Linked DNA regions of Nothobranchius furzeri. The protein of the gene in region 1 interacts with the protein of each later gene in a pairwise test. Links are inferred from orthologs where the notes say so. Each region holds a gene or a part of one and is shown in the gene's direction. Other genes may lie near its edges. The genes, in order: copb2 and copa.

Evidence for each region.
Region 2: the proteins of copb2 (region 1) and copa interact in a two-hybrid assay, tested with the Homo sapiens proteins (2 studies listed by BioGRID, with this or other methods). The link is inferred for Nothobranchius furzeri from reciprocal best matches to the Homo sapiens genes COPB2 and COPA.

Annotation. Positions count from the first base shown.
Region 1 is NC_091751.1:58,296,202-58,300,601, reverse strand, and holds the start of copb2 (coatomer subunit beta'), read left to right. Parts: upstream 1-1,504; 5' UTR 1,505-1,633; coding exon 1,634-1,636; intron 1,637-2,020; coding exon 2,021-2,158; intron 2,159-2,271; coding exon 2,272-2,358; intron 2,359-2,715; coding exon 2,716-2,842; intron 2,843-2,964; coding exon 2,965-3,113; intron 3,114-3,305; coding exon 3,306-3,452; intron 3,453-3,681; coding exon 3,682-3,781; intron 3,782-3,873; coding exon 3,874-4,016; intron 4,017-4,152; coding exon 4,153-4,352; intron 4,353-4,400. Other genes in the region: retinol-binding protein 2-like, read left to right, coding at 1-37, 151-201. UniProt on the Homo sapiens protein: The coatomer is a cytosolic protein complex that binds to dilysine motifs and reversibly associates with Golgi non-clathrin-coated vesicles, which further mediate biosynthetic protein transport from the ER, via the Golgi up to the trans Golgi network.
Region 2 is NC_091751.1:41,088,785-41,092,605, reverse strand, and holds part of copa (coatomer subunit alpha), read left to right. Parts: intron 1-441; coding exon 442-551; intron 552-950; coding exon 951-1,050; intron 1,051-1,305; coding exon 1,306-1,524; intron 1,525-1,733; coding exon 1,734-1,884; intron 1,885-2,258; coding exon 2,259-2,325; intron 2,326-2,425; coding exon 2,426-2,501; intron 2,502-2,630; coding exon 2,631-2,713; intron 2,714-2,797; coding exon 2,798-3,023; intron 3,024-3,211; coding exon 3,212-3,350; intron 3,351-3,610; coding exon 3,611-3,773; intron 3,774-3,821. UniProt on the Homo sapiens protein: The coatomer is a cytosolic protein complex that binds to dilysine motifs and reversibly associates with Golgi non-clathrin-coated vesicles, which further mediate biosynthetic protein transport from the ER, via the Golgi up to the trans Golgi network.

The DNA of each region.
Region 1 (4,400 bases):
CTGGAAACACTGGATTGAAGGAGACAAACTCTACCTGGTGGGTCTTGAACTACAGTCATGTTAAGGTTGCTTTATCAAATCAAAGATACTTTATTGATCCCAGAGGGAAATTAGCCATGCTGAATAATACTGAGAGTTTTTGTTTCACAGGAGCTGACATGTGAAGATGTGATTTGTGTTCAAGTGTTCAAAAGAAAATAATAGCGTCTGTCCTTATTGTCACTAGGTTGATAAAAAATAGAATCTACATGTTTTCCAAGCATTTTGAATCAATAAATGATCTTTAATTATTCATTGTGTTGTATTTTATTTGTTAGCGTGCAAATCCCTCATTCTGTCAAGGCAACAACACATGTGTTTGGAATAATTTAGAAGAGTTTTGCTTCTAGTTTAACTTTAAAAACCCAGTTCCTTTTTCTGCTTTTACTCATCTTCCTCATCATCCTTAATTTTATTATTCCCAAGAGGACAAAATGGAAGATTAACATTTTTTACAGCTTAATTAAGATAAGGAGGCTGAAATATTTTCTTCTAAATGGGTCACGGGTTCGATTCCAGCTCCCGCCAGGTGTATCCTGCTGTCGTGTCCTTGGGCAAGACACTTCACCCAACTTGCCTGTGTTAGTGGTGGTCAGAGGGGCCGACGGCGCCAAATGGCAGCCTCGCCTCTGTCAGACCTCCCCAGGGCGGCTGTGGCTACAAGTAGCTTACCATCACTAGCAGTGTGTGAATGTGAGAGTGTGTGAAAGCGTCTTTGGGTGTCTTGAAAGCGCTATATAAGTTCAATGCATTATTATTATTATTATTAAAAAAATAAAAAAAAGTACCCGCGTTCAGACACTGGAGGGCAGCAACTCCCCATCTCCCCGTCTTTTATAAATGCTGTTGGAAACCAAAGTGTTGTTCTGTTGTTTTGCCAGTAGAGGGCACAAGTTCTCCGTTCTGTCAAGGCAACAAAACATTTTATTTGGAAGAATTTAGAGAAAGTGTTTTTACTAAGTAACAATTTAAATTAAAAAATCCTGTTCCTTCTTCTGCTTCTACTCATCCTTCTTCTCATCCTTAATAGTAATACTCCCAAGAAGATTAAGATAAGGAAGCTGTGTCCAGGACGAACCAAGACCCCCAACCTTTACCCTCATGAACACATCAAAAGTGAATAATTACAAGCTTTATACAGGCATACTAAGATATACTTCTTATGCAGAGTTTTGATTATACGATTTGGTGTGTTTTGGGGCTTTTATACATTTAACTTTTGAAAATATAATCTTGGTAATCCCACACCCCACTGTAATCTTTGGGTTTCACGGATCCCAGGTTGCGAACCACTGAGTTAGAATAAATATTAAAATTACAAGCTTAAATATTGTTTAAAAAATGTCCATGTAATTCAGTAACTTTATTTGAGTTACAACAGCAACTTGCAACCTACAAAAAATAAAAAAATAAAAAAATAACTTGCAACCTACAAGCTTCCATGTCACGTCAGCAGTTCCAACACAGTTCTCGCGAGATTTCGTTTCAGGAAGTTCCACGTCAGTGTCCTGCAGAACGCTGCTCACTGAAATCGCAACATTTGGACTCGATTGGACGTTAATCGGATCTAGCAAAGACATCCAGGGCGGAAAATATGGTAAGCTGTAGTTTAGAAAGTTATAAGTGTGCTTCTTTTCGATAAATGTCACCCGAGATTCAGTTTAATCTTTAAACAAAAAGAATGAAATGCTTAAAAGAGCCTAGCGGCTAACTAGCTTAAGTTTGCATAGAATATTGTCTCTCAAACACGTTTAAACCTAAATGTTAATGTCACATATATCTATCCTTATTTTTCAACGAATTAGTCACAGATGAATGTGTGACTGATCAACTGAAATAGCGAAAAAAACAGTTTTAATTTCATTTGTTTCTGATGATTGATACATTGGTGTTAAGTTGACGTTCTGCTACTACTAGCTAACAGCAACAAAGTACAGTTTGAATAGTGTCTATTAACACATTGGGTTTATTTTTATTTAAGCCTCTGAGGCTGGACATCAAGAGGAGGCTAACAGCCAGGTCGGACCGGGTCAAGAGTGTGGATCTTCACCCAACCGAGCCATGGATGTTGGCCAGTTTGTACAACGGCAGTGTCTGTGTGTGGAACCACGAAACGCAAGTATGGAATACACCCAAAGAGTAAAACCTTTGATCTGTGCACCATATAAACAAACAAATATGTGAAAAACATCTATAAAAATCACAATCAAAGTCGATCTGTTTTTATTCCAGACTCTGGTCAAGACGTTTGAAGTGTGTGACCTGCCTGTCAGAGCTTCCAAGTTTGTGGCAAGAAAGAACTGGGTGATCACAGGAGCAGTGAGTCACAGGAATTTATTTGTTTTGAGCCTACACCTCTAAAAGCTTCTGTAATATATATATATATATATATATATATATATATATATATATGTATATATATATATATATATATATATATATGTATATATATATATATATATATATGTATATATATATATATATATATATGTATATATATATGTATATATATATATATATGTATATATATATGTATATATATATATATATGTATATATATATGTATATTAGTGTAAAACTGCTATTTGATGTTATTTTAGAGTTAAAACTTTTACTAGAAAACTTAGGAAAAACTACACTTTTCTACTTTATTCATAATTTCTTTTCTCTTCACAGGATGACATGCAGATCCGTGTGTTCAACTACAACACCTTGGAGCGGGTCCACATGTTTGAAGCCCACTCTGACTACATCCGTTGCATTGCTGTCCATCCAACTCAGCCATACATCCTCACTAGCAGTGGTACACTATTTACCCTACTAAACCTATATTTTCTACAGCTTTAAATGCAGCTGTGGCTCTGATTAGGCTTATGTATCCTTTTTTTGGGCACTTGAGCGTGATTGTGTTTTATCTTTGTGCAGACGACATGCTGATCAAGCTTTGGGATTGGGAGAAAAAGTGGACATGCAGTCAGGTGTTTGAGGGTCACACTCATTACGTCATGCAGATCGTCATCAACCCCAAGGACAACAACCAGTTTGCGAGCGCTTCTCTGGACAGAACCATAAAGGTAGATTTTTCTGTTTGTGCAAATGGATAAATGGAATGTAAAACTGTATATAAGTGTAGATTATTGTTTTTAATGAATGTGTGTAAGATCAACAGCTCCTTTATATTTGATTTGGTGCAAAGGAGTCAGTGGTAAGAAGCGTACTGTGTCTGATTATTTTTGTACAGTTCTCTCTCTCTTTGTGTTGTACAGGTTTGGCAGCTGGGCTCCTCATCTCCTAATTTCACTCTGGAGGGTCACGAAAAGGGAGTAAACTGTATTGACTACTACAGTGGAGGAGACAAGCCCTATCTGATATCAGGGGCTGATGACCGCCAAGTCAAAATTTGGGACTACCAGGTTAGAGAAGTTTTATTTGGTTATAGTTATAGTGGCATGTACACAGAATTTAAAGTAAGTCACCAAATGGGGAAAACTGCATTAATTTGAAAAAGTACAGACTATTTGTTTTATCTCGCATTAGAAAAAGCCCAAGTTAGGTATGGTGATTTTATTTTTTGGTCTTTGTAAGTTTTATCTAGCATTTCCTCTACATACATTTATATCCCTCTTTCTCTGTGTGTTGTAGAACAAGACTTGTGTTCAGACTCTGGAAGGTCATGCCCAAAATGTCTCGTGTGTCAGCTTCCACCCAGAACTACCCATAATCATCACGGGATCAGAGGATGGTGAGAAAAAATCTCCCTCAACCATAAAATCCACAGGAACGTCCTCTCCTTATGTTGTTGTTTTGTGCAATATCGTCGTCTTTCCTCTCCAGGTACGGTTCGAATCTGGCACTCGAGTACTTATCGCCTGGAAAGCACCCTGAACTACGGCATGGAACGAGTGTGGTGTGTGTGTGGCCTCAGGGGATCCAACAATGTGGCACTGGGATACGATGAAGGCAGCATCATCATCAAAGTGAGTAAAAGGAAGATTTAATCTAAAGTTGGATTAAACTAATGCCTCAAAATTAACTTTTTAAAAGAAATCCACATTAAAATGAAATAAACGGTAAAAGTAAAAATGTGTACGCTTGTTTTACTCTGCGGTGTAGGTTGGTCGGGAGGAGCCAGCCATGTCTATGGACACTAATGGCAAAATCATCTGGGCTAAGCACAGTGAAATACAGCAGGCTAACCTGAAGGCTATGGGGGATGCAGAAATCAAAGATGGGGAGAGACTGCCACTGGCTGTCAAAGACATGGGTAGCTGTGAGATTTACCCTCAAACCATCCAGCATAACCCTAATGGAAGGTAAAAACACGCGTTTCACTTGTGACAGCCCCAGAAAGTCATCACTCG
Region 2 (3,821 bases), about 17 Mb from region 1:
TTAGTGCTGTTGAGCTATCTGTTCACCACATAATCTTCCAATGGGCTGAAATCATGAATGCAATACTGTTTTCTTGTCAAATTTCCTTCCTGATTTAGTCTGAGTTCTGGAGATGATCAGTAAATCTACTGTGGTGTTCAGTTGAATCAGTCATTTCTTCTGGCGCTGCTACTGTGGTGATTGTTTCCAGATTCATCTTAATGAGGAAACGAAGGTTGTGTTTGTGTGTTTCAACCCCATGTGTGTGTGTTCAGTAGTCCAACAGTCCTATTTTTACTCTGAATTTGTTCTTTTGTTTTACATGATTTGACCCCATGTTTGATCATGTGGAATGATGTTTTGTTTTGTGTTCTTCCTCCTCCTCTTTGCTGGGGTTGTGCTCTGTATAACATGAACATGGCTTTCCTTCCTTGCACGCGACCCTCTAATTGATGGTTCCAGGTCTGAGGAAGAAGAACCTGTCTCCTGGCGCCGTGGAGACGGAAGTGCGCGGCATCACTGGGGTTGACCTATTTGGCGCCTCGGATGCTGTTGTGAAGCATGTCCTTGAGGTGAGCAGCAAACTTGATTTGTCTTATTTAGTATTCTTAAGACTTACGTCTCAATCTAGTGAATACATTTTTAAACAGCTTAGCAAAGGAAAATGTCCTTTATTTTTTGTGCCTGGCAGGTTTTGAACTCGTAGCTCAGTTTTCAAAGGAAGCTTCCATTTTTTAACTTATTCATTCTGCTATTGCTGTTCTTGATAGTTTTGGCTAAAATATTCAACAAAACTGGCATCTTTCTCAAAGCCTGACTTTCTCAGTGTTTGCATAAATTAAAAATATAATTCCTTGCTCTCATGCTTGTAATTTGAGAGCACCAAAGAGAACAGCCTTTAGCTTCGGTGCTGAATGTGTGCGGAGATATTTAAGCATTTGTTGGACTTGAGTTTGTGCGTCTGTGGCCAGGGTCATGATCGTGGGGTCAACTGGGCTGCCTTCCATCCCAGCATGCCTCTCATCGTGTCGGGAGCTGATGACAGACAGGTGAAGATCTGGAGGATGAACGGTAAGACAGGCACATAATAAATCAGCTGCTCCACGTTTTGCTCTGCAGCTAGTTGCTGCAGCAATGTTTAAATATTCAAACATGTCTGGCGGAGGCTATTATGCCAACATTTTACGTTCAATTTACGTTATTTACACACTCGCCTGTCTGGCTCATATTAGCTTTGAACCAATCGGCATTGAACTAAAATGTCACGCTTTGCAGATTATGTCATTTATATGTTTTACTAATCTCATCTTTTCCTGTTTTGTCCAGAGTCCAAAGCATGGGAGCTCGATACTTGCCGTGGTCACTACAACAATGTGTCCTGTGCAGTTTTCCACCCACGTCAGGAGCTCATTCTGTCCAACTCTGAGGACAAGAGCATCCGAGTCTGGGACATGTCCAAAAGGACCGGAGTGCAAACCTTTCGCCGTGATCATGATCGCTTCTGGGTCCTGGGGGCTCACCCAAACCTCAACCTGTTTGCAGCAGGTAAGTGTCGACCCCAACATTAATCTATAGATGGGCGGTTTACGCTGTTGGTGAGGTTTTACTATTTGAACTTAAAAGAATGATTCCAGTTACTACAATTGTATTTGACTGTAATAAAAACAATGTGTTACTCAGCTAAAGGAAATAATTAGCAAATTTAAAAAGTGATTATTTTTTTAAATTTGATTATTGTCCTTTATTATTTTTAGGTCATGATAGTGGTATGATTGTATTCAAGCTGGAGCGGGAGCGCCCTGCGTACGCTGTACACGGCAACATGCTGTACTACGTCAAGGATCGCTTCCTCCGTCAGCTGGACTTCAACAGCAGCAAAGACACTGCTGTCATGCAGCTCCGCAGGTTGGTAGTTGGAGGTTAAAGTACAGCTTCTTCAGTGAGCAACAAGAGGTTTGATCACTTGGTCTCCCCTCCTACCTCTTGACTAATTTATGGATCTCAATAGCTTTTTATTATTTACAGCAAAACAATGAAAGATGTCTTGTTGATCATCTTTTACCACAAAGTTTGCAGCAAAAATGTCCTAAATGCAGATGTGAAGAAATTCACCTCTGCAAGTTTATTCTTAGACTTCATTAGACAAGGCTGAATGAACAGTGATGATGAATACAAATGATTTAGACTTGTAGTTTCAACTACTGTACTGTTATTGCCCATTAATGTGGACTGAAACAGTAAAATTGCACCAAATTTCTTTTATTAATTTTCTCTTCTAGTGGTTCTAAGTTCCCGGTGTTCAGCATGTCTTACAACCCTGCCGAGAACGCTGTCCTGCTCTGTACTGTAAGTATAAAAACCCTCACTGATAACGTTTGTTGCCCATAATTGTTTTATTATTATTTTTTTTATTTTTTTTTCTCCAAATTCTTTGTTTTTCCTGCAGAGGGCCACCAACCTGGAGAACAGTACTTACGACTTGTACTCGATTCCCAAAGAAAGTGACTCTCAGAACCCTGATGGTAAAGACGATTCATGATAGAGGACATGTTAGACCTTTTTAATTTCTCAATTTGTTTTTATTTTTTATCCAAATAATTAGATGCATCGTTTGGTCATTTAAAGTGGGAGAATTTATTTTTTATTCCCAGCACCTGAGGGGAAACGATCTTCTGGTCTGACGGCTGTCTGGGTGGCAAGAAACCGGTTTGCTGTTCTCGATCGCATGCACTCTGTAAGTTCACTTGCAAACAATGGTGTTCTTTATGAAGAATTAAAAAGGCACTAAATTAAAATACCATTTGTTTCTCCTTCACAGCTTCTGATCAAAAACCTGAAGAATGAAATAGTGAAGAAAGTCCAGGTGCCGAGCTGCGAGGAGATATTCTACGCAGGAACGGGTTCGCTGCTGCTGCGGGATGCTGATGGCGTCACGCTGTTCGACGTGCAGCAGAAACGTTCGCTGGCCACTGTGAAGATCGCTAAGGTCAAATATGTGGTGTGGAGCTCTGACACCAGCCACGTGGCTCTGCTGGCTAAACACGGTGGGTTGATGAGAGGAATGGTGCAGGTTTAGTTCAGTCAGGCATTTGTGTAGAGTAACAGAAAATAACATTAGGAAATAAGATTTCACCCTTTATTGTTGCACATTTAGCCTAAAAATGTAAGTTGATGCTCTGTAAAATTTATTTTCAGACACATCAAAGTCTTTTCTTCATCTTTCTCCCTTCAGCTATAATGATTTGCAACCGTAAGCTAGATAGTCTCTGCAACATCCACGAAAACATCCGAGTGAAGAGCGGAGCCTGGGATGAGAGTGGGGTCTTCATTTACACCACCTCCAACCACATCAAATATGCCCTCACTTCTGGGTAGGTCGTCTAGTTCTGGATGCAGCCCAGATGTCTTACAAATGTCAGAAAATCAAGAAACCTGAACATGTGAAGTGTTGGAGCTAAAAGATGGTGAGAAAGAAGGTAGTGAAGCTAACTGCTAGTGTGCACAGATTTTCCACATGGAGACTTTTTTTTTAGATGGGAGTCTTTTATTATACAAGTTAAGTTGTTTTTTGAGCACGTTACTGTGTGCATTTGAAAATGAATATTATAGCGCCCTGTTTATGACTCTGTAGTGACCACGGCATCATCAGGACCCTGGATCTGCCCATCTACGTGACCCGTGTGAGAGGAAACAGTGTTTACTGCCTGGACAGAGAATGCAGGCCCCGTGTGCTCACCATCGACCCGACTGAGTACCGCTTCAAACTGGCTCTGGTCAATCGCAAATATGATGAGGTTTGTTCTAAATGTTTGTTTTAAATCCACCTTCGTGTTTTTGCTTTG